Linked DNA regions of Caenorhabditis elegans. The protein of the gene in region 2 purifies or fractionates together with the protein of the main gene of each other region. This does not show direct contact. Each region holds a gene or a part of one and is shown on either strand. Other genes may lie near its edges.

Region 1 (8,784 bases), 5.5 Mb from region 2:
GATGGAAACGTCATTTCGTTTGAGACCAACACGACCTGACAAGCCTATAATCAAGAAATTTCTTTTTTCCGGAAAAATGAAAATATGAGTTATATTTTACGTAGTAGGGGATTTCTTTGAAAATGGAGTATAGTCAATTGGAAAATTATTTTAAAAGCTGAAATTTTAAAGGAACAACGAAAAACTCGAGAGAGATCTAAAAACCTTGCTAAACTCCGTGTTCGAATTATTTCTACAATAAGAACTGGAAGACCAATTAGCGAATCGCTCCGCCCACTTTTGAACCAATCAGATTGAGTGGGCAAAGCTCGAAGTCACTGATTGGTCTTGCAGTTATCAGTTTGGAGGTAATTAAAACAGATAAAAATATATTCGGTTTTTTTGTGAATTTTTGTGAATTGTTCACTTTTTGTGGTATAGCTATATTTAAATTTCATGGAATTAGGGTACTTTGAAGAAAAATCCCCTTTGAACTGTACACCATTTTTTAAAATTCGTAAATCTCACAGATTGCTAAGAATGGTACTGTAATTTCAAACTTAAGTTGCTGTGGAATTTTCATTTATTTTTCATATTTCTTTTTAACTTAACATTAATAACACATACATTTTAACGAAGCGTGAAAAGAAACTATCAAAAATCAATGAATATTCCACAGCAGCGAAACTTTCAATCTACAGTAATCTTTAAAGGCGCACACATGTTTGTATTTAACAAAAATTGTCGTGTCGAGACCGGGGACTGTATTTTTGGGAAAAAATCACAAAATTTTGCGTGCGGGTAATAAAAACTTATAATATATCAAAATTGTGTTATATATATATGTTCAAACCATTGGTACGGTTTTACTTAGAAAGAAGGTAAAAGCAGGAAGCACATCCAGGAGAGGTGAATCATGAATACAACTGGTGCCTTCAGAAGTGTATGGGGCCACTGCTTGCTTGCCCCATACCATCTATCCTATTTTATTGTATTACCCCCCGTCTCCTCTCTGTCCACTCATGACGTCTCCGTCTCTACAATCAGCGTGCTCTCAGTGTCTCATTACGTCGTCTAAAGCACCCTCATACAGGTGCCCCAATGTGGCTCGTTTCGATGCGCCTCGGGCACTTTCTAAGTTGCTCTCGGACAAACGACGACACGCCCACTCGTTTAAGTCGTTCAAGTCGTCAGCTACATATGTCTTTATTCATATCATTACTCATAAATACTCAAACAATTGGGGTTTACGGAAAGATGGATGTGAAGAGAATATAGGAATTCTCAATGAGGGTCAACAGGGGATTCGGGGAAATTTAAATAACAACACCAAGAAAGTTAACGAAACAATTGATTATAGATGCGTGTGATTTTATAATTAGAGAGAAAGTGGGGGAAGGATAACCAAAACAGGAAAAAAGACAGAAAAATCAACCAGGATACTAATTTTAAGGACATTCGAGTAATTTCTGAAAATTGGATATGGAATCAGCACAAATTGAGCATGTGTTTATTTTCTCCAACTTCCACTATCGGCATTTCCCGTGTTTCCAGTGTTGTTAGACCGTGGTGGTGGTCCGTCACGACGAGGCAACGAGTTGCGGCCAGTTGGTGGTGGGCCTCGGAGTCCTTGAGCCCGGTCTGGTGGGCTTGTCACATTGGAATTTCCAGATCTAGCAGGAGCGGATTGTTCCTCGGAACCACCTGCTCCACCACCTCCTTGTCTGTTTCGAAGATGGGGTGGCACGAACCTCTTGGGTCCTTCCGATTTCGGTTCAGAAACTGAAAAATGATTATTTTTTTAGGTTTGTAGCGACAAATGTTTGAACAATAAAAACTAATCTTACCTGATGGGGCATCGGTCTTTGGTGGAGAAACGACTGGCTTCACTCCTCGTTCCCACTTATCCCCAGTATCAGCCTTCGATGCTGGACGGGGTGGATCATTGCGGCGAACATCGTCGTTGCGACGGACATCATCGTTGCGCCGGAACTCGTCGCTGCGGCGATCGTCAGGTTTACGAGTTGGTTGAGCAGAACTTCTCCAAGAGTTGTCAGTATCAGCTTTAGAAGATGGCACCTCACGGAATGGCTCTCTAGGTTCACGATCACGATCTCCACGGAATTCTCGAGGTTCACGTGTTGGTCCATCACGCATTGGTCTCGTTTCTCTTGGAGGCAAACTCTCACGTGGTGGGTTACGTCTCCAATCATTGTCTTGCATAGCAACCGAATTCTCCATTTCTCTACGACCACGACCATCATTGTGTTGACGACGTTGTCCTTCGATAACTTGGAGACGGGCACGCTCCTCTTCTTCGCGTTTCTTACGTTCTTCGGCAATCTTCGCCTGAATAGCATCTTCCTTTCGCTTCTTCTTACGATCCTCAGCACGTTCGGCAAGACGATTATTACGAACTGCCTCGAGCTTCGCTTGCCAATCAGACAACTTCTTCTCAAGAGTTTCCTGGTTGTCGATTTTCACCGACTCGACCCAATCAAAAGTAGCGTCTCGCACTTGATCCCACATTCCCCATAGTTTGACGTGTGAGTCATGAGCAGCACTGGAATATTATTTTTTATTACAATGAGAGATCAAAAAAAAGAAAGAAATCACTAATGTTAAAAATAGAAAAATTCTAATTTTCCAAATGAAACAACAAAATTATTAATATATGATCTAAATCGTGTTTATCGCAAAACTTTTGTGCATTTCATAATGCTAAGAACGACGAAAATCCTTCTCAAACTCAAACTTGCAGGAAAAGCAAAACTTAAGAGAAAATTTAAATAGACGCTTTCGGTTTTCTAAAATTTTAGTAGAATTTCAAAAAATTAACATTAATTGAAAAAAAAAACTTACATTTCCTTGGCTATTCTAGCCTCTTCGTATAAATCGTGAAGTTTTGGAGCTTCAGAGAGTCGCATATTCATCACTGCACGACGCTCGTTCAACTCTTCCAAGTGAAGAGCGCGAACATGATGGTCAAAGTTCTTCTCTTGTTGTTGCAACCGACGTTGAGTTTCGGCACGCTCCTTATCCAATCGTTCTCTCTGCTCACGCAGCACTTGCTCGGGATCCATGTCTCTGAATTGCTCGAGACCCTTTTCTTTGATAATTTCTTGGTAGATGGCGTTCTGCTGCATTTTGTAGAGCTGATCTTGCTTAATCTTCTTCTGAATCTCATCCTGTTCTGCTTGCTTTCTTTTCCGTTCGCTCTCCTTGTTCTGCTCATCCAATCTCTTCATCTCCTCAGCACGAGCTGCTTCCTCACGTTTAGCTTGTTCAGTTGCAGCCGCAGCAGTCTTTTCAGCCTTAACACGCTCCCAGTTCTCTTTGTAGTTCTCCAACATCTTCTTGCGACGGTGGATACGCTCGATTTCAGTTGGTCGGTTCTTTTCATAACTAGTGACCTGTCCTTCAATCTTTTTGAGAATCTCTTTGCGTCGTTTTTCGGCATCGAGTCCTTCAACGAGACCACGAAGACGTGTATACATTGCTTCAAGATGATTACGAACACCTTCCACTCCCAATTGAGTATCATCTCCAGTGAATCCTTCGTTGTTATCGCATTCATCGACTCCTCCGGCCAATGTCGCATCGGATGATCCAAAGCGAACACAATCAGCACGATGATCCAATTGAGCTTTCACAATTCTATGTTTGCTTGCTTCAACGACGAGACGCTCCAATGCCAAGTCAGAGTAAAATGGAATAATCTTTCGAATTCGTTCCCAGCTGATAGCTTCGTAGATGACAGATACTTGCTTCAAAGCCTTCACAGCAGCAACTGCTTGAAGAGACTCAACATATTGCAGATGGTCAGGGCGAGTGACAGTATCAAGAACAGATTGAACATCCTTAGCTACTTTTAATGGTGAGAAATTACTCTCAAGAAGCTTGTACAGATCCTTGGCGGTTTGTCCAGCAGCTTCTGGTACTCCAATCCGTGCGGCTTCCTTGAGAATTCCGTTTTTAGTTGGAGCAATTGGAAGACGAAGCAAATTTGAGAGAAGTCTCATGTTGGCTACATGTTGATCCTCAATATCAAGGTTGCGAGACAAATCAGATGGCGAATCTGATCCTTCTGGGATGGAAAGAGTAGCGAGAAGCACTCTAGTAGCCTGTTCTTGTGCTTCATCCTGTGTGAAAGACTTCTTCATATCTTTGTAAATGATGAACTTTTGAAGAAGGGCGGCGGCGTGGAACAAACTGTTTCCTGCTTTCCAGAACACCAATGCAAGTTTGTCATAATAATTGACATAGCTTGCAGGTTTTACCGTTCTCTTGTCTTTGTCTTTTGAAAGCTGCATCATTCCGTGAACGTCTTCTGCGCTTCTGAAAAAATAACATATAAAATTTGATTAAACAATCAATTCACTGGAAAAATAATCCCTCGCACATGAACTTTAAAAAAAAACAAGAAAAACATACTTGTAAGCTTCTTGCCAGAGCTCCATCTGAATCGCAGTATCCAATTGAATCAATCTGGTGTCTTGCATAAGACCTAGAGATTCTGGAGAAGTGAGTTTCACACGGAAAGAGTTTCTGAAAGAACAGAAAATATTTTAATTAGCGTTTACTGAATAGTGTCATCACTTACACATTTGGAGCATATTGGTGTTTTTGTATCTGATTCAGATGCATACGGAGGAGATCGCACAGCTTTCGGAACTCTGTTCTACGTTGATATCTGAGACAGAAAGTGAAAGAGTGGCGAGATATGGTGTGGTAGAGTTGTTCAACTTGGGCGTTGTTTCTCAACAATTCCAGACAATTTCTGTAAGAATCCCAGAGAAAACGGAGCCATGGTGCAAGAACAGTACGATCCATTCGATCTTGAGCAGCTGCTCCAGAAACAACAGCAAGAAGAAGGCGTTCAGGAACATCTCCTTGATCAAGATCTCCAATTTCTTCGACTTTTTCGATCGATTGTTTTTGAGCATCTTCAGTACGCTGCTCTGCGAGTTTCAAAAAATGCACCACAACTGTTTCGAGAGATTTCACATTGATCTGAAAATTAATTAATTAGCATGAATAATTTGCATTACTGTCAGTCAGAATAATAATTTTCTACTCGCAAAAGCAATCGTTAAAAAAAAGATAACCTGTTGAGTTAGAGCCTTGTATTGAAACAAAGCATCTTTTGCCAAGTGTTGTTTCTTCAGATCTACACACAATTCCATGTGCTTAATCATGATTTGTTCGTGAACAGTTGTCCATTGCTTGTGTCGTCTGGCCTACAACAATTGAAAATTCAAAGTTTCAAATTAGGAGCATTCTAAAGCCTACCTTGATAGTATCATGAAGCGTGTCAAGGGCATCGGACTCTTTTCCAACTTGAATGAGTTCTTCGGCGCGTTTCAATGCCGCTTCGGGCTTTTGAAAATAATTCGGAGCCATAGTTGTGCTCGGATTACCGCTGAATTGAGACACGAAGCCTGAAAATTGCGAAATGAAAAGAAGTTTACATTAAGAATCAATATTTTTTTTATAGAGCGTAATTCCAAATTCGAAATGTATTTTTAAAAAAAGATCACAAAAACGGTTCCGAATTTCAATTGGATCGATGTTAATTTGTACATTCACATTTTAATTGATCACTTTTTAACAGTTCGCCAGCAATTTAGCTATTACACTAAATTAAAAACTTCTTTAATATGTATTTACTGTAGAAGCTATGAAAATAGTTCAACTTTGCACATAGTACTTCAATAATCTAGACTTTTTGACTCGTTTTCAATAGAATAACATGTTTTCTTACGAGAAATCGATAAATTTCATCATTTTTGAGAAAAATTTGCACTATCATGAATAGAAAATTGTTTTCTATCATAATTTCACAACAGAAACATCAAAAAATTGCGGAAAACACTAAAAATTCGCAAAAGATGGCTGAGAATCCGACCGATCGGTTGGAAAATGAACGAAAAAAGGCTTTCGCGGCGAGACCTGCACGCGGAGAAAACTCTACGCGCCTTTAAAGCGCGAGTGTTATTTTCATCAGATATCCACAATGTTTACCCTTTCTTGCTAATTTTTTAAAGTTTTTCTTCAAATCAATGTTTAAAATCAATTGAGTTTTCCCAGTTCCACCTAAAATTAAAATTATAATATTTTATTCCACAATCACACTGAGAAAATCCACTTAATATAATCGATTTTTCCTGGCTGGTTTATTTTTTGCTGTTTTACAATACATTTAAACAATTGAATCGTTTTCAGCTTTCATAGTCGATTGATGGTGACTCCTCTTACTGGCACACACGAGGGTAATTGAATCTGAAAAGAATTACTAATATCTCCCTTCATTCAGGTGTATCGTGTGATGGGTGTGCTTTCACCGCGTTTGCTGGAAACCGTTACAAATGCCTACGATGCAGTGATTACGATCTCTGCTTCAGTTGTTTTACCACAAAGAACTACGGAGACCAGCAAACAATAGCTGATATCCCAATACACGACGAGTCCCATCCAATGCAGTTAATTTTGAGCTCTGTGGACTTTGGTAGGATTATAAATATTTACACATAACATTTGGTTTTATAAAAAATTCAAAGCTTTAATTTAATTTTATCGAAAAAAATTAACATTTTGAGTTTTTTTTGTAATAAATAAAATGACAAGTTTCATAGTTTTAACATAATTAAAACATCTATTATAAAAACATGGTGAGAGTGAGGATTTCAGAAAAATTAAAAATATATAATTTTCGTCCCCTAAAAAATTATGTTATCAAATATTAGTATTCTTTACAGACCTCGTATACCAAGGCGACCCTACGCGACATTATGACGAACGGAAAATTGTTTCCTTCACTTGTCCGTATTGTAATATAACAGGATTGACCGAACGGCAATTTGGGACACATGTACTTTCACAACATCCGGAGGCTCCGGGCTACAGTGTGGTAAGAGAAAATGCTAAACATAATATCCTTTAAATAACATTAATTTGTTAACGTCCAGATATGCCCGCTTTGTATTGGAAACACAGAGATGGAGCACATTCAATCGAAAGAAACTGAAAATTTGAGCGTACATTGGACAGAGATTCATCTTCATACGTAAGGCATACAAAAAACTCACATTTCCCAATATTTCTAAATATTTTTGAAAAATCACAAATTGTTACAGAATGGAAAACCTATTTCGTTCAACTGAACCAATAACTACTCGCCCAGTTCAGCGACGTCCAATGTTAGCAAGAAGAGGAAATCGAGCAGGAGTGTCACGAACAGCAGCACAAGGAAGGCCTTTACAGGACGAAATAGGTGCTGAAATGGCTGCTTTACTACGAAACATGGGTCCTGATTCTGTCGAAGATATCAGGCGATTTACAGAGATGATGACCGTACCGTTATTGCCTGGAATTCGAAGTTCGCAACGATTAATGACAAGTACTGGTGACCGACCGACTGTTGTTGTAGAAAGTGCCGTGACACATCAAGATCCGAATGTTCAGCAAGTCATAAGGCCATTGGCAACTATTCCGATTTATCCTCCGACTTCTGACGAATCAGGAGACGAGACTCCTCAGCCAGCAGCAGATTCTGCAGATGAATCAGAAGATGATAATGATATTCAAGAGTTGGATGACATGCAACCTGTGAGTTTTTCTCGAGAAAAATATAGTTTTTTCGTTTACTTGAATTTGTTAAAAATACCGTCAGTCGGGAAATTGCTAGAAACCAATTCGAGCGCTGAAATGAATAAATATAATATAACGTTCATTTAAATTTTCGAGCGAAAAAGCGATAATTAATCAGTTTTTGTAACTCTTAATTTTGAAACTCGACCATCAAGCAAGTTTTTAAAAAAATACTAGGATACCTGGAATGTTTAGATTTTGTTAGTGTATTTAGACACAATCCCCATTGGAACTACATCAATCTGAACAACATCGAAAAAATAAACTTGTAATGTTTATTTTAATCGTTTTCGAAAATATCCCGTTTGACGTCTTAAAATTGAAACTAGGTTAATCGAAGGATTAATCTTTACGAAGATTAAACAAATGCATATTTGACATTTCCAATTAAGATCGTCGAGGATGAAGCTTTAAAAAAGGACGAATTCTGGAAAACACTGAAAACAAGAATAAGCGAGGAAGATGTTGACTTGATACTGGAAACTATGAAATCAACTGCAAAAGTGAAAGAAGATATAGATGATAAGATGCCTGTTTGGACACAGCGTCCCTTAAAACGATTAGCAAATGCTGCTCAAGTGACGACTACGTCTGATTCCGAAGGTGTGTAAATTTATTTAACTACCGTAATCAGTTGTTTTTTTAATATCTGTAAAATGAAACTAGATGTGTTATTAAAGAAGGAATATAGTTGAAATGTTACAAAATGTTGTAAAAATAGAAAGTTCAATGAAATTAATGGAATTAAAGATAATTTTAATTAAATTTGTGCTTTAGGTGATCCGGGTTGGTTGCCACTTTCATTCGAAACAACTCCAATTCGATCAACTGGATGTGGAGGTTATTGGTCTGACAAACGATTTCTTCGACCCAGAAAAATGCAACGTGAGCAATCTGTAGCTAGTTCGAATGCTGAAATTATGGAAAAAGCTGAAATCGCGTTGGCTCTGATACGAGCTTCTTGCCTTCATGAGCCCGTTTTTACTGATCCAACAAAGCCTGGTAACTTATTTTCTGATTTTATGATTCCTATTTTAAAATTTTCAGATATCGCATTAAAGGAGGCTCTCCAGCATCTACGGCTAGGAGAAAAACCGGCAAAAATGATGGAATATCAAGCAGCGGAGGAACTTGTCAATATGCCGGAACGAGACC
Region 2 (6,777 bases):
TGAAAAATCCGCTTTTTGGGTGATATTTCAGACAAAAATTGTGTTTTTAAAAATCACTTTTTTCGTCGAAATATTGTTGCAAATTGCACTTTTCTCGAAAATTTGATTCAATCACGTTTTTTTTTGTTGAATAATTGCTGAAAATAACGTTTTCTCTACGAAAATTTGCTGAAAATTCAATTTTTCCGGAGAATTTGGCGCAAAAAATGATGATTTTCAGTGAAAAATAGGGTTTTTTCGGTGATTTTTTGGTGAAAATTGAAATTTTATAGTAAATTTCAGATGAAAAACCATAAAATCCTTTTTTTTTCTCAGACTTTTGTTCGGCGGATCTGGAAAAGATTTCAGTGGATTTTAGTTTTCCATATCCTTTTTTAAAAATAAAAATCAATTGGAATCAAGCTTTTTCTTGGAAAATAGAAGGGAAATCACGGTTTTTTCCTCTAAATATTGCCGAAAATTGCTTTTTTTATTTTTGATTCTTCGCTGAAAATTGAAATTTTATAGTGAATTTCAAATGAAAATCCATTGAAAAATTGGTAGAAAAATTTTGGTGAAAATCTCGTTTTTCCACTGAAAAATACGTCTGTTGGGTGAAAATTTGACGAACATCACGATTTTTCAAACGAAAATTGGCAAAAGTCTCATTTTTCACTTATAATCCATGAAAAAACCGTGTTTTATCTCGTATTTATCGTAAAAATCACGATTTTTCTACAAAACCTCGGTAAAAATCACGTTTTTTTAAACAAAAAATCGCGATTTTTCGTTGCAAATAAGCTCAAAATCACATTTCTACTTTAAAATTTCTGTGAAAACCACCTTTTCTCTAGTGAAAATTGACAAAAATCTCGTTTTTAATTTGAAAATTACGTTTTTTTGGATAAAAATTTGACGAAAATCACGATTTTTCCCACAAAAGTTTCATGAAATTTGCAAAAAATCACGTTTTTCCCTGGAAAATCCGTGAAAAACTGTTTTTTTTCCGTCAATTCAGTGAATTTCAGACGAAAATCCAGATTTTTCTTTGAAAAAATTGCTGAAAATCACTTTTTTTCAACAAAAATGGACAAAAATCGTGTTTTCTTCACTTAAAAATCCACGAAAACCCCGTTCTTGCTCGTATTTATCATAAAATTCACGTTTTTTGGTCAAAATTTGGCTAAAAATACTTTTTTTTTTTGGGTGAAATTTCCGTTTTAGTGAGTTTTTTCTTGGAAAATAGGCTGAAAATCAAATTTTTCCGCGGAAATTCAGTTGAAAAATACGTTTTTTGGGTGAAAATTCGCCGAAAATCACGATTTTTTAAACAAAAATTCGCTAATTTCCCCGTTTTTCTGTTGAAAATCCATGAAAAAACCGTGTTTTTTCGTCAGAATTTCCACACATACAGTATCCAACATTTTCGTCTTTCCAGTATCAACATGTCCAAGAACACAGATCACCGGAGATCTGAGGTTATCTGTGCTCCGATTCGCTTGAGCCACCTCCTTCCTCTTGGCAATTCGAAGCTTAATCCGTTCCATTCTCTCTTCGACCGTCTCTTTCTGTTGTCCACCACGATCCTCATCATCATCAGAAGAAGATTCTTCAGATTCTTCAGAATCTTCCGATTCTTCATCTGATTCTTCGTCGGAAGACTCTTCGTCGTCATCCTCGTCGGCATCAGAAGCCTTGGTGGCTGGCTTCTTCGGCTTCTCCTTCTGAGCTGAAGCTTCATCCTCACTGTGCGCCATCTCCCAATCGTCAACGGGCTCCGGGGTCTTCTCCTGCTCTGGAGTAGTTGATGGAGTTTCAGCAGAAGCTTCAGCAGAAGCAGAAGCAGAAGCATCAGCTGAAGCTTCAGCAGCTACCGGAAGCTGTCCGAGCTTCTCCAACCGCCTACGCTTCTTCTCTTCCTGCTTGGCTTTCGTCTTCTCATCAACATAGACAAATGATTTCTTAACTCCAGCAGCTTCATCTTCCGTAGAATCACGTGGAGCTGGAACAGAGTGTCCGGCGGCTCGAAGCTTCTCCAGAGCCAGAGCTTGTTGGCGTTTTTGAGCAGCTGTCTGGTAGGTTCCGGCGGCTTTTTGGCGTTCGACTTCAAGGCGTTTTGCTTCTTTTGCCGCTTCTTTTCGCTGGAAAAGTAGAGTTTTAATTGATAAAATAGGGAAACTTTGACGAAAAATCGAATTTTTTTGCGAAAATGCTCGAAATTTGGTTTTTTATTCATTTAAAATGCTAAAATGCCTTTAAAAAATCTCTTTTTGGATTAAAAATAGAATTTTTATGCATGAAATAGGGGAATTTTTGACGGAAAATCGGATTTTAATCCCAAAATTTTAATTTTTTTTGCGAAAATGTTCGAAAAATGGAATTTTTAGAGGATTTCGCTGGAAAACTTGGGGTTTTTCTAGTTTTAATATGCTAAAATGGCTTTAGAAAAGCAATTTTTGAATAAAATTGGGGAATTTTTGACGGAAAATCGGATTTTTAATCCCAAGATTTCATTTTTTTGCGAAAAAGGTGAAAAATTGGAATTTTTAAAGGAATTTCATAATTTTGAGTGAAATTTTCGCAATTTTTAGTTTTATTTAATTGAAATTTTCAACATTTTAATTGTAAAAATTAAATTTTATTTCGATTTTTATTAAATTTTAGAGCAAGAAAACTCGGTTTTTTTCCCAAAAAAATTGTAAAATTTCGCTTAAAATGGCAAAATCCTCCAAAAAATCAATTTTATTTCTGAATTTTAGGCATTTCTGCACCAATTTCAGCGAAAGTTGTCATTTTTTGTGACTTTTCGCACAAAATAAATATATTCCCATATTTTCAGGTTAAATTCCATGAAAAATCGGGGTTTTTCAAGGAGAAAAAGTCAAAAAAAATTTCACGGAAACCCAATTTTACAAAGACTGAGCCAAAAATTCCAATTTCAGGTTTTTTGTGCCAAAAAGGTTAATTTTTCGGGTTTTTCGGCTGAAATTCCACGAATATTTCGATTTTTCGGCGGAAAAGCCAGTTTTTGAAGCAATTTTCTGTTTCAGAGCGAAAAAATGCGAATTTTCATGATTTTCAGCTGAAATTCCACCGATTTTTTGATTTTTTCTTCATAGAGCACCTCCTTCTCAGCGTGCTCTCTCTCCAGACGCTCCTTCTCCTCCTGAGCATCACGCTCTTGTTGCTCTTTCTGTAGTCGTTCCTGCTCTTCACGTTCTTCTTGCTGCTTTTTGAGCATTTCCTTAATCAACGATAGATTTCCTTTCTTTGCTCCAGCTCCACCCTTCTTATCTTCCTTCTCTTTCTTCTCTTTTTCCTTCTTTTTATCCTTCTTTTTCTGCTTTTTCTTGTCTTTTTTATCCTGATCCTTCTCGTCTCCTTCACCATCCGAATCCTCTTCGACTGCGGGCTCTTCAGGCTTCTCCACAGGCTTTTCCTTCTTCTTCTTGCTCTTTTTGTCGTCTACCGGAGCAGCTTCTGGAGCTGCCACGGCTTCTGGAGCCACTTCCGCCACCTTCGGGCCATCCTTTTCCTGGAATGAAGCTAGAAGAGCATCTAAATCCTCTTCCTCGTCGGCTTCTCCCTTTTTACCCTTCTTTCCGGCCTTTTTCTTCTCTTTTTTCTCTTTCTCCGGCTTCTCCGGCACCTTGGCGGCCTTTTTCACCTCAGGCTCGGGCTCCGGCGGCTCAGAATAGTTTTCCTCGGGCTCTGACTCATCTAGCTGGAAAAATAATGACTTTATAGGTAATTTCTGCAAAAAATAATCACCAGAGCGGCGAATCCCTTCTTAGCCGGCGCTTTTGCCTTGGTTTTCGCCTTCTTCGGCTCTTCGTCGTCCCATTGAGCGTCGGCGTTGCTCGCCACACTCAAAGCTGCGAGCTTCTTCTCGGCGGCATCGTCATCCCTGAAAAAATCAATCAAATATTGAAAATTCATCGAAAAACCGGGCCGAATTACCAATCATCGTCCTTATTCTTCTTTCCTCCCTTCTTCGGCGGCATTTTCGGCGGCTTTTTTGCGCGTAATTGTGCGAGTTTTGTCTGAAATTTGAGTTTTTCGTGATTTTACACAAAAATTTTCAAGAAAATAGCGAAAAAACGAGGAAAATCGAAGAAAATCGGCTCAAAATTAGGCTAAAAATTGGAAGTCCGCAAACACCGAAGCTTACGCAAAATTGCGGAATTAAAGTTTTTTTTGCAGATTTTTTTGTGAAAAAATCGAAAAATTCGAAATTAGCGTTATTTCTAGCGGAAATTAACGAGAAAAATGATAGAATACACGAAAAGATATGACTATCTAGAACTCGAAGGACCTGGTCGAATGGATAATTTTGCACGGATTACACAATTAGAGCAATGGAAGCATCTGGAAATAATTGAAATTGATGGCATCGTTGATCAAATCGAACAGTTTTTTCATTTAAAACGGTTTACCGTCGGAATGGATGTCTTCTCAACACAACACGCAGTTGAATTAAGAGATGTATGTTACTTAAGATTTAAAGTTTTCACCTTAAACATTCAGAATCTCCTGAAAAGAAGTTCCTTCAAGATCTGCACAATCAAATTGGACATGTCAAAGTCGGACCCGATTGAACTCGCAAAAGTATTCAAACCAGATTATTCTGGTGGCATTAAATATACATTTGAGTTTTCAAACGATGATGCTGTGTTCGAGATTAATTGTACACCGCCGATTTTCAACATTTATGAATTTACAAGGGAAGTGAATATAGGGGTCCCCGGACTTTGGCATGGCATAGTATTATTTCGATAAAATAGTGTTACCGATGATCGCTCCAAAAAATCTAGCTGCCCCGGTCCAGGTTCAACAAAGTTATGACGTTTTGAAATTTCAGTTAAAAACACCATTGAAATCCACTGTCTAACCATGCTATCCACGCAATTCTCAGCTTGCGTGACCACCGAAAACGTGACACCCACCACATTGAGTTGAAAAATGTCCTCGGTGGCCGAGTTGGGAGTGCGCGCGTCTGTTAAGAATGAATCTTTGGTTCGATTCCTTCTATTTTTGAAATTTTTTTGCAAGTTGAATAAAGTTGTAAAACAACTCATTCAAACATTTTTACGCATTTTTAAAGTGATTTTATTCTTATTCGGGAACCCAGAATCATTTTCCGCACTTTTTGGAAAATTTTATTTTTTTCATTTTTTCTCAAAATTTCTTGATCAACTCCAAGCAAAAATTTCAAAAAATTTTATTTTTCTAAAAAAATTTTAAATTGCCATTTTATTGTTTAGAAATGTATGAAACGTATATTACACAAGTTTTAGCTCTTTATTCGCGAGTAAACCATCGAAATGATGTACATTTCATGAATTATGTGCAAAATATTTAACCAACTTCGAAGTTCCATAACTTCGTTGAGATAAATTATTTTGAAAAATGATCAACTAACGAATTGTTTGTTGAATAACAATGAACAAAGTTTTAGTTATAAACTATTTGATACCTTCAGCCACGAGGAAGAAAACAAGGTTGACATTTGGCTAGTTTTTCTTTTAACATTGGGTTCGGGAAAACAGTCACAACTTCTTGAGGGCAAAATATTTCAGAAAGTGTATAACTAAAACTTTGTTCATTGTTATTCAACAAACAATTCGTTGATCATTTTTCAAAATAATTTATCTCAACGAAGTTATGGAACTTCGAAGTTGGTTAAATATTTTGCACATAATTCATGAAATGTACATCATTTCGATGGTTTACTCGCTAAAACTTGTGTAATATACGTTTCATACATTTCTAAACAATAAAATGGCAATTTAAAATTTTTTAGAAAAATAAAATTTTTTGAAATTTTTGCTTGGAGTTGATCAAGAAATTTTGAGAAAAAATGAAAAAAATAAAATTTTCCAAAAAGTGCGGAAAATGATTCTGGGTTCCCGAATAAGAATAAAATCACTTTAAAAATGCGTAAAAATGTTTGAATGAGTTGTTTTACAACTTTATTCAACTTGCAAAAAAATTTCAAAAATAGAAGGAATCGAACCAAAGATTCATTCTTAACAGACGCGCGCACTCCCAACTCGGCCACCGAGGACATTTTTCAACTCAATGTGGTGGGTGTCACGTTTTCGGTGGTCACGCAAGCTGAGAATTGCGTGGATAGCATGGTTAGACAGTGGATTTCAATGGTGTTTTTAACTGAAATTTCAAAACGTCATAACTTTGTTGAACCTGGACCGGGGCAGCTAGATTTTTTGGAGCGATCATCGGTAACACTATTTTATCGAAATAATACTATGCCATGCCAAAGTCCGGGGACCCCTATATTCACTTCCCTTGTTAGTGTTAAAAGATGCTAATTTAATTTTTTTGTATTATTAAATGTATGGAGTATTCTGCAATAAAATCATTGAAATCAACATGTACAGTGACGGCCAATATTCTATTCGTTTTCGGTTTGTAGGTGATTAACTTGGGTTGTTCAAACACGTGTAACTCAAAAGCTGTAATAGTTAGCAAAATATTTTAAACTAACAAAATATTGCCAATTACTTTATCTACATTTTTTTTATTTTGTGAAAATTGTACAGCTCTGTTCCAAAAAATTACAGCAGCTGACATCCGGCGGGCCCGTTTTTTGCTTGAATTTCTAAATGGTTCACAACTTTGAAACTAGATGGTTTAAAGAAACAAAGTTTAATGAGAAAATATTCTCCATAATGTTTTTTACTTTTTGCAATTTATTGTTTTGTCACAAATATACCAGGAGATTCTATACAAACAATTGAAAATAAAGCACAAATTTTGAAGTTTTGGCATGTTCTG
Region 3 (5,766 bases), on a different chromosome or scaffold from region 2:
TATTTGGTTATTGAGAGAAAAAAAGATGATGAAGAAGAAGAAGACGTACTGCATTTGACCTTATCTCATATGAAATGAGAATGAGAGCTCGATGCTTAATTTCGTAGATGCACATAGACACACATAAAAACGTGTATTTCTTGCTTTGCTCTTCGGAATGGTAGTGCATGGGACTGGAGGGAAATTGGATGCTGGAATGCTTCATCCGTCACTCACGATCCCGTTTGCCTATTTTCAATTTATTTTTTTGTGTTTAACAAAAACTAAAAATGAAATTAGAAGAGAACTGGGAGCATAGTGGCCGAGCCCATAACCATGGTGAATCAGCGATGAATGTTTTGTTTAAGAGAGAACATAGAGGAAGGAAAGACGCCGAGTGCGGCCACCTTATTACATATTTGTAAGAGTATTATCATTGTTCCGAAAAAAAGGAAGCCGAAAAGTGCGCGAGTTCGGACGATGATATTATGTATGCTTTTGCTAAAGAGAATAAAATTTGGAATAATAATAAATGAAGGCAATGAGAATTTTAAAGAAGAATAAAAGTTAAAGAAATAATTAGCTTCGTTATCTAAATTTCAATGCAAATTATAATGAGAAATATTAAATTTTTTGTGAATCTGATCTATTTTAGTAATGAAGACCACAACAGCCTCAAAATTGGATTCCCTAGGGCGCTCTCGAGAAAAAGGAAAGTACAGAAAATCTTAGGCTACTAAACCAAATTGGCTTCTGTTTTCTTTTCAGAAAAAAAAAGAAAAATGGAGTCAGTCGACAAACCCCTTAAGTGCATTGTACTGAATAGATAAGACACGTAGAAGGTGAGAGTAGCTAAATCATTCATGAGGAAGACATTCGGGAAGAAGCTTTCTGGAAAATACGAAACAATTTCCAAAAATAGTCGACCATTTTTTAATTTTCTCCATATACTGACGCAAAACTGGTGATAAGAAGATTGAACCGTTTCCGCTTTTAATGATACTGCAAAAACCACCATGATAGTGAAGAAGCGGCGTTGTCACTTTGTTTTGTTTTACAAACGTTGGTTTCACCGTCTTCAGAAACAATACAAGCATACGCTTTTTTTTTCAAAAAAAAAGAAAGAAAATAAACAACAAACTGAATCAACGGTAAATATGGTTTACGATGTTAAATGTTTTTAAATCAAAATTAACAAATTTGGATTGAGAAAACTGGAGGAAGAAGTAAAATAGATTGAAAACTGCAAATTCCTATTATTAAATTCACGGAACTGGAATAAATACCGCATTTAATATTCAATACGACCTCAGAAAACCTCAGAGTCAGACACACTTAACGAATTAGAAGTATTCTAAATTCGAATAAATATATGAAATTTTACAGTTTTGAAATATACAAATCTATGAGCGTAGTAACGAAGAGAATTTGCTGTTATGCGCGGCCGTGTAGAACGAGAGAGGGTCAGAAGAGCCAAGATGAAGCAGAGAGCAGAGACGACACCGGCGACCCGAGAGCAGCAATTCGTCGGCGATATGCCTGGCTGAGCCAACGAGTCTCCGGCTGCCAATCTCGCAACACTAAGAGCTCCGCCTTTCTTCTGCTCCAACGTCCTGCAACATCAACTTCTTCGTCCTTTTCTTCCGTTTTCCACACAAAAGCTGCGCTTAGATACTCATTGTCAATCGGTGAACCAATTCTTTCCATTGAAAGGATGCCATAACGAAGCTGATTGTTGTCAATTTAGTTATCCTCCCACTCCTCCTATCAGAACTGAAAAAGCTGAGAGCAACGAGGTAGGCACGAATTGGCCCACGTCACAAACTAGTCGGATTTGTGATGCGATGCCGACGGATTTGGTTGTTTTTTGATATGAAGATTGTTAGAGAAATGTATTTTTTCTGACTATGAGAAGTAAATGGCAGTACTAAGATCATATATGGATTCGCATGGGAATTATTTAATAGCAGATTGCTTCTTTTTTTCACAATGATTTTCCGTGAGACCGGTCCTGGCTAGTGAAAAACAACGAACATTGTAACGGCAAGTGGAATACAGAGACGAGAGTATCAATTATGTACTAATCAGTTCAAAACAATACATTAAAATAGATTTTAATATTTTTGTTAAACTTAACAGCTCAAAAGGATTCAGCGAAGATATATTTTTGCTTGCCAAGTCAGTAATTTTCAAAGGTGCGTCAGAACTCGATGTTAGAGTAGAAAATACTATCAATCATAGAAAAACGATAGAAAATCAACTAAAGATATATAAAATATGTCAATAAACTCGCATATTCTAATCTTATTGAACAAAATAAATAAATTCTCATTTAGAGAACAAAAAAAAAAAAGTGTTCACTCCTCGTAAATCTCCCCCAGCCTCAAAGAGAAATCGTGGCGAGACCTCACCACAGCCATTCTTCATGCGCCTTGAAAGTTTTCTCTCATTTTTTGCATTTCGCAACCCATTTTGTCTTTTAAAATAACTGAAACGGCAAATAATCTTCAAAACTTAGTGAATAAAATGTATTTTTAAATTGTATGTATATTACGAGATTCAAAATGCCTACCTTTCTTCATGAAAATCGTTTCGCATCTTCATTTAAATGATTTTTCAATTCCAGGTTTTGTACTTCAAGCAAAACAAACAAACTATGGCTGACGATTTGGTAAAGTTAATTTATCTCGTCTTCAAATTGAATTTATATTTCTCCAGGGTCTCGATCTCGGAAAAAAGAAGAAGTCTAAGAAGGTGATCAAAATCGATGGCGATGATGCTCCTGTTGAGACCGGCGTAGAAGCTGTAGAAGATGGCTTGGGTGAGCTGATGAAGATGTGTATCTGATTGTTAATTAATCAAAATTACAGGCGAGCTAAACCTTGGAGCTAAAAAGAAGAAGAAAACTCCAAAGACAGCCGGCGAAGAAGTAGTTGAAGAGAAAGTTCCAACTCTCGGTAATATATTTTATTACAAAGTTATAAAACTATAATTTTGCACAATACTCTTTCAAAATAAATAATTATGAATTCAGAAATCGGAATTGGAGCTCAAAACTTGATCGATGCAAAAGGGGCATGGCCAGATTACACATACGAAGAAGCTCTCACTCTTGTCTATCAGGTTATGAAAGACAAAAATCCAGACTTTGCTGGAGACAAGAAGAAGTTCGCCATCAAGCTCCCAGAAGTTGCAAGAGCTGGATCAAAGAAGACTGCTTTCTCCAACTTCCTCGAAATTTGCCGGCTTATGAAAAGACAAGACAAACACGTGCTCCAATTTTTGCTCGCGGAATTGGGAACGACTGGATCCATCGACGGAAGTAACTGTTTGATTGTGAAAGGAAGATGGCAACAGAAACAATTTGAAAGTGTCCTCCGGAAATATATCAGTAAAAAATAGAAATTTCCCAAAAATTGTATATTTTCTGTATTTCAGAGGAGTACGTAATGTGCCATACTTGCAAGTCGCCAGAAACACAGCTCACCAAGGATACTCGTCTCTTCTTCCTCCAATGTACTAACTGTGGTTCCAGATGCTCTGTTACAGCAATCAAGAGTGGATTCAAGGCTGTCGTAGGAAAGCGTGCCGCAATTCGCCGAGCCGAAGAAGCTACAGCTGGAAAGTAATATTTTCTAAACTTTACTCGGTTGTTATCCGGCTTTTTATGGGTTGGTACTTCTTTCCATTTTTCCGAAATTCTTGTTTTGCTTTCTCTTTTCCTTGTTTTCCCCGTATTTATTTTTATCCAGTTTCATTTCCTTTCTCATTCGATTCGTGTTTTGAGAATAAATTCGGCATAGTAAGTGTTTCAAATTTATTGAATGATTTGTTCTCACCTTTTTAGGTATTTTCCATGTTCAAGTTTAGTCAAAGGATCCCCAATATTTCAGCACCATATGACTAACCTTATGAGTGCATTGTCAAAACTTTCACAGGCTTTGGATTCCAAAAATATTGGAGAAGTTCTTCTCGCTCTTCAGAATTTCGATGAAGAATTCAGCGCTGAAAAATGTGAAGATGTCTTCGTTAGATGCTTACAAGAAATTATTTCATGGGACTTGACGGTTTCTCTAGAAATATCTGAAACGGTAGTTCGACAAATGATGAATCGATTGGAAAATCAAGCGGTGTTGGAAGAAATGTGTAACTATATAATCAAACAACAATCATCTGTCACTGTGGAAATTGCAGTGGAGATAATGATAGAGTAGGTTTTATTTTATTCAGCTTTTGTTCACTTTTTTTACTATTACAGGCACGGCTGGATTTTAAGAACAGATGATTGTAGAGAAGTCTGGAAACAAATCGAGTCTGCGAAAAATACTGAAAAAATCGAAATTCTCGCAAGAAGAATGACTGCAAATTGTAGAATTCTGAGGTTATCTGGAGCTCCGAAAAGATTTCTTGAAAAATTACTCAAGGATGTTATAATATCGCTCAATGCAAATAAGGTCAACATTCCCATGAAATTTCTAAATGAGCTCGCTATTGTTTCTCCCTTTCATCCTATCCTCGGTAAGAGCAGTTGTAGAATTAAATTTCAATTGAAAAATGCGTATTTCAGTGATCGAAGATTTCAAGAAGGACTCCGAATATTTTTATATTCCACACGTTGTTTCAGAAGAGACCCGATTCCATTTGGAAGTGAAAGAGTTCACAAATTTCTTTCAAATTGAATCAACTTATCACAAAGAACAAGCATGTCAGATGCTTCAAGTGTTTAATCAGATTTACAAACGAATGGAGCTTATCCCTCAATTGGAAGCTCCCGAAATTGATAAAATTGTAGAATTTTGGCTTGCTGCTCTTCGAATATTCAATGGATATGGAATTGGGATGAACGACATAACAGAATCAGCCAAGCTTTTAGAGAAAACAGCTTCTAGATATTCTCTCAAAAGCAGACCTCTGTTTCTGAAGCATTTTCTTAAAAAAATTTCCGAAAAGGTTTGATTTCTGTTGGTGTATTTTTAAAGATTAAAAATTTCTCATTCAGAAAGATACAAATATTGGTTTGGAACCGCAAGTTGTTGCAACCATCATCACAACTTACCAGCGAAATGCATTCGGCCTCAGGTCACCTGAATTTTATGAAGAACTTGGTGAATTTTGGGCACTGTGTTTGAAGATTAAATACGATGACGTTTATTTTGCAACTGTCTACTTCTCTGCTGTGTTCGCACTAGCTCAGGCACAAGCAGTTTTCAAAATTAAAAAAGAGCTCTGTCGTGAAGTTTACCATAAGATTCTTCAACCGATGCACGAGCAGCTTGTCGACTTTGTCAAGCTGAAACAAGTTGAATCCAATAAAGCTACGAGTGAGGAAGAAGTAATGCGCCTGGAGCACCAAAATATCGGCGCAAGCTACTTTTCCATTTTGACATGCACCTACAAAAATGCTGAGGATCGGATTTTGGAGTTTATGAAAGAAAATTAGCCGACGAGTATTTTTGAAACATACTTTCCTTATTTTTTCAATTGGTCTTTCATTTGAATATCTATTTTCTTTGATAAATTAATAAAAAAACTTCTCTTCGCTCTTTTTTTTTATTCCAAAAAGCTGTAATTAAGTTATTTTCAGGAAAGAAAAATTATCTTTAAACTGTTTTTGAGCTTTCTTTTATTCTACGATAAGGTTGCAGACATCGTTATAAAAGTGGATACGCAGGTCTCACAAGAAGTGCGCCAGCACCAGGCGGGCACATTTCTCGATGCTGGCGCGTTTCTAGATGACCGTGCTGTACAAGATTTTCTTTTTCTTTAATTTTTCAGTTGTTTTTTGTT

What was found.
Region 1: the proteins of iffb-1 (region 2) and egl-45 fractionate together in Caenorhabditis elegans (co-fractionation; one large-scale study listed by BioGRID). This does not show direct contact.
Region 3: the proteins of iffb-1 (region 2) and eif-2beta fractionate together in Caenorhabditis elegans (co-fractionation; one large-scale study listed by BioGRID). This does not show direct contact.

The regions. Positions count from the first base shown.
Region 1 is NC_003281.10:7,823,207-7,831,990, forward strand, and holds egl-45 (Eukaryotic translation initiation factor 3 subunit A), read right to left. Parts: upstream 5,421-8,784; 5' UTR 5,383-5,420; coding exon 5,272-5,382; intron 5,220-5,271; coding exon 5,088-5,219; intron 4,993-5,087; coding exon 4,583-4,992; intron 4,528-4,582; coding exon 4,414-4,527; intron 4,318-4,413; coding exon 2,842-4,317; intron 2,543-2,841; coding exon 1,827-2,542; intron 1,762-1,826; coding exon 1,490-1,761; 3' UTR 1,171-1,489; downstream 1-1,170. Other genes in the region: E3 ubiquitin-protein ligase kcmf-1, read left to right, coding at 6,221-6,251, 6,296-6,487, 6,738-6,889, 6,948-7,045, 7,116-7,252, 7,322-7,587, 8,022-8,232, 8,407-8,631 and 1 more.
Region 2 is NC_003281.10:2,311,681-2,318,457, reverse strand, and holds the start of iffb-1 (Eukaryotic translation initiation factor 5B), read right to left. Parts: upstream 4,023-6,777; 5' UTR 3,984-4,022; coding exon 3,940-3,983; intron 3,887-3,939; coding exon 3,751-3,886; intron 3,704-3,750; coding exon 3,104-3,703; intron 2,121-3,103; coding exon 1,392-2,120; intron 1-1,391.
Region 3 is NC_003279.8:8,024,632-8,030,397, reverse strand, and holds eif-2beta (Eukaryotic translation initiation factor 2 subunit 2), read left to right. Parts: upstream 1-2,605; 5' UTR 2,606-2,635; coding exon 2,636-2,650; intron 2,651-2,697; coding exon 2,698-2,800; intron 2,801-2,849; coding exon 2,850-2,936; intron 2,937-3,013; coding exon 3,014-3,370; intron 3,371-3,417; coding exon 3,418-3,608; 3' UTR 3,609-3,783; downstream 3,784-5,766. Other genes in the region: C54G4.9 (RAP domain-containing protein), read left to right, coding at 3,879-4,189, 4,238-4,497, 4,547-4,929, 4,979-5,419. UniProt on the Caenorhabditis elegans protein: Component of the eIF2 complex that functions in the early steps of protein synthesis by forming a ternary complex with GTP and initiator tRNA.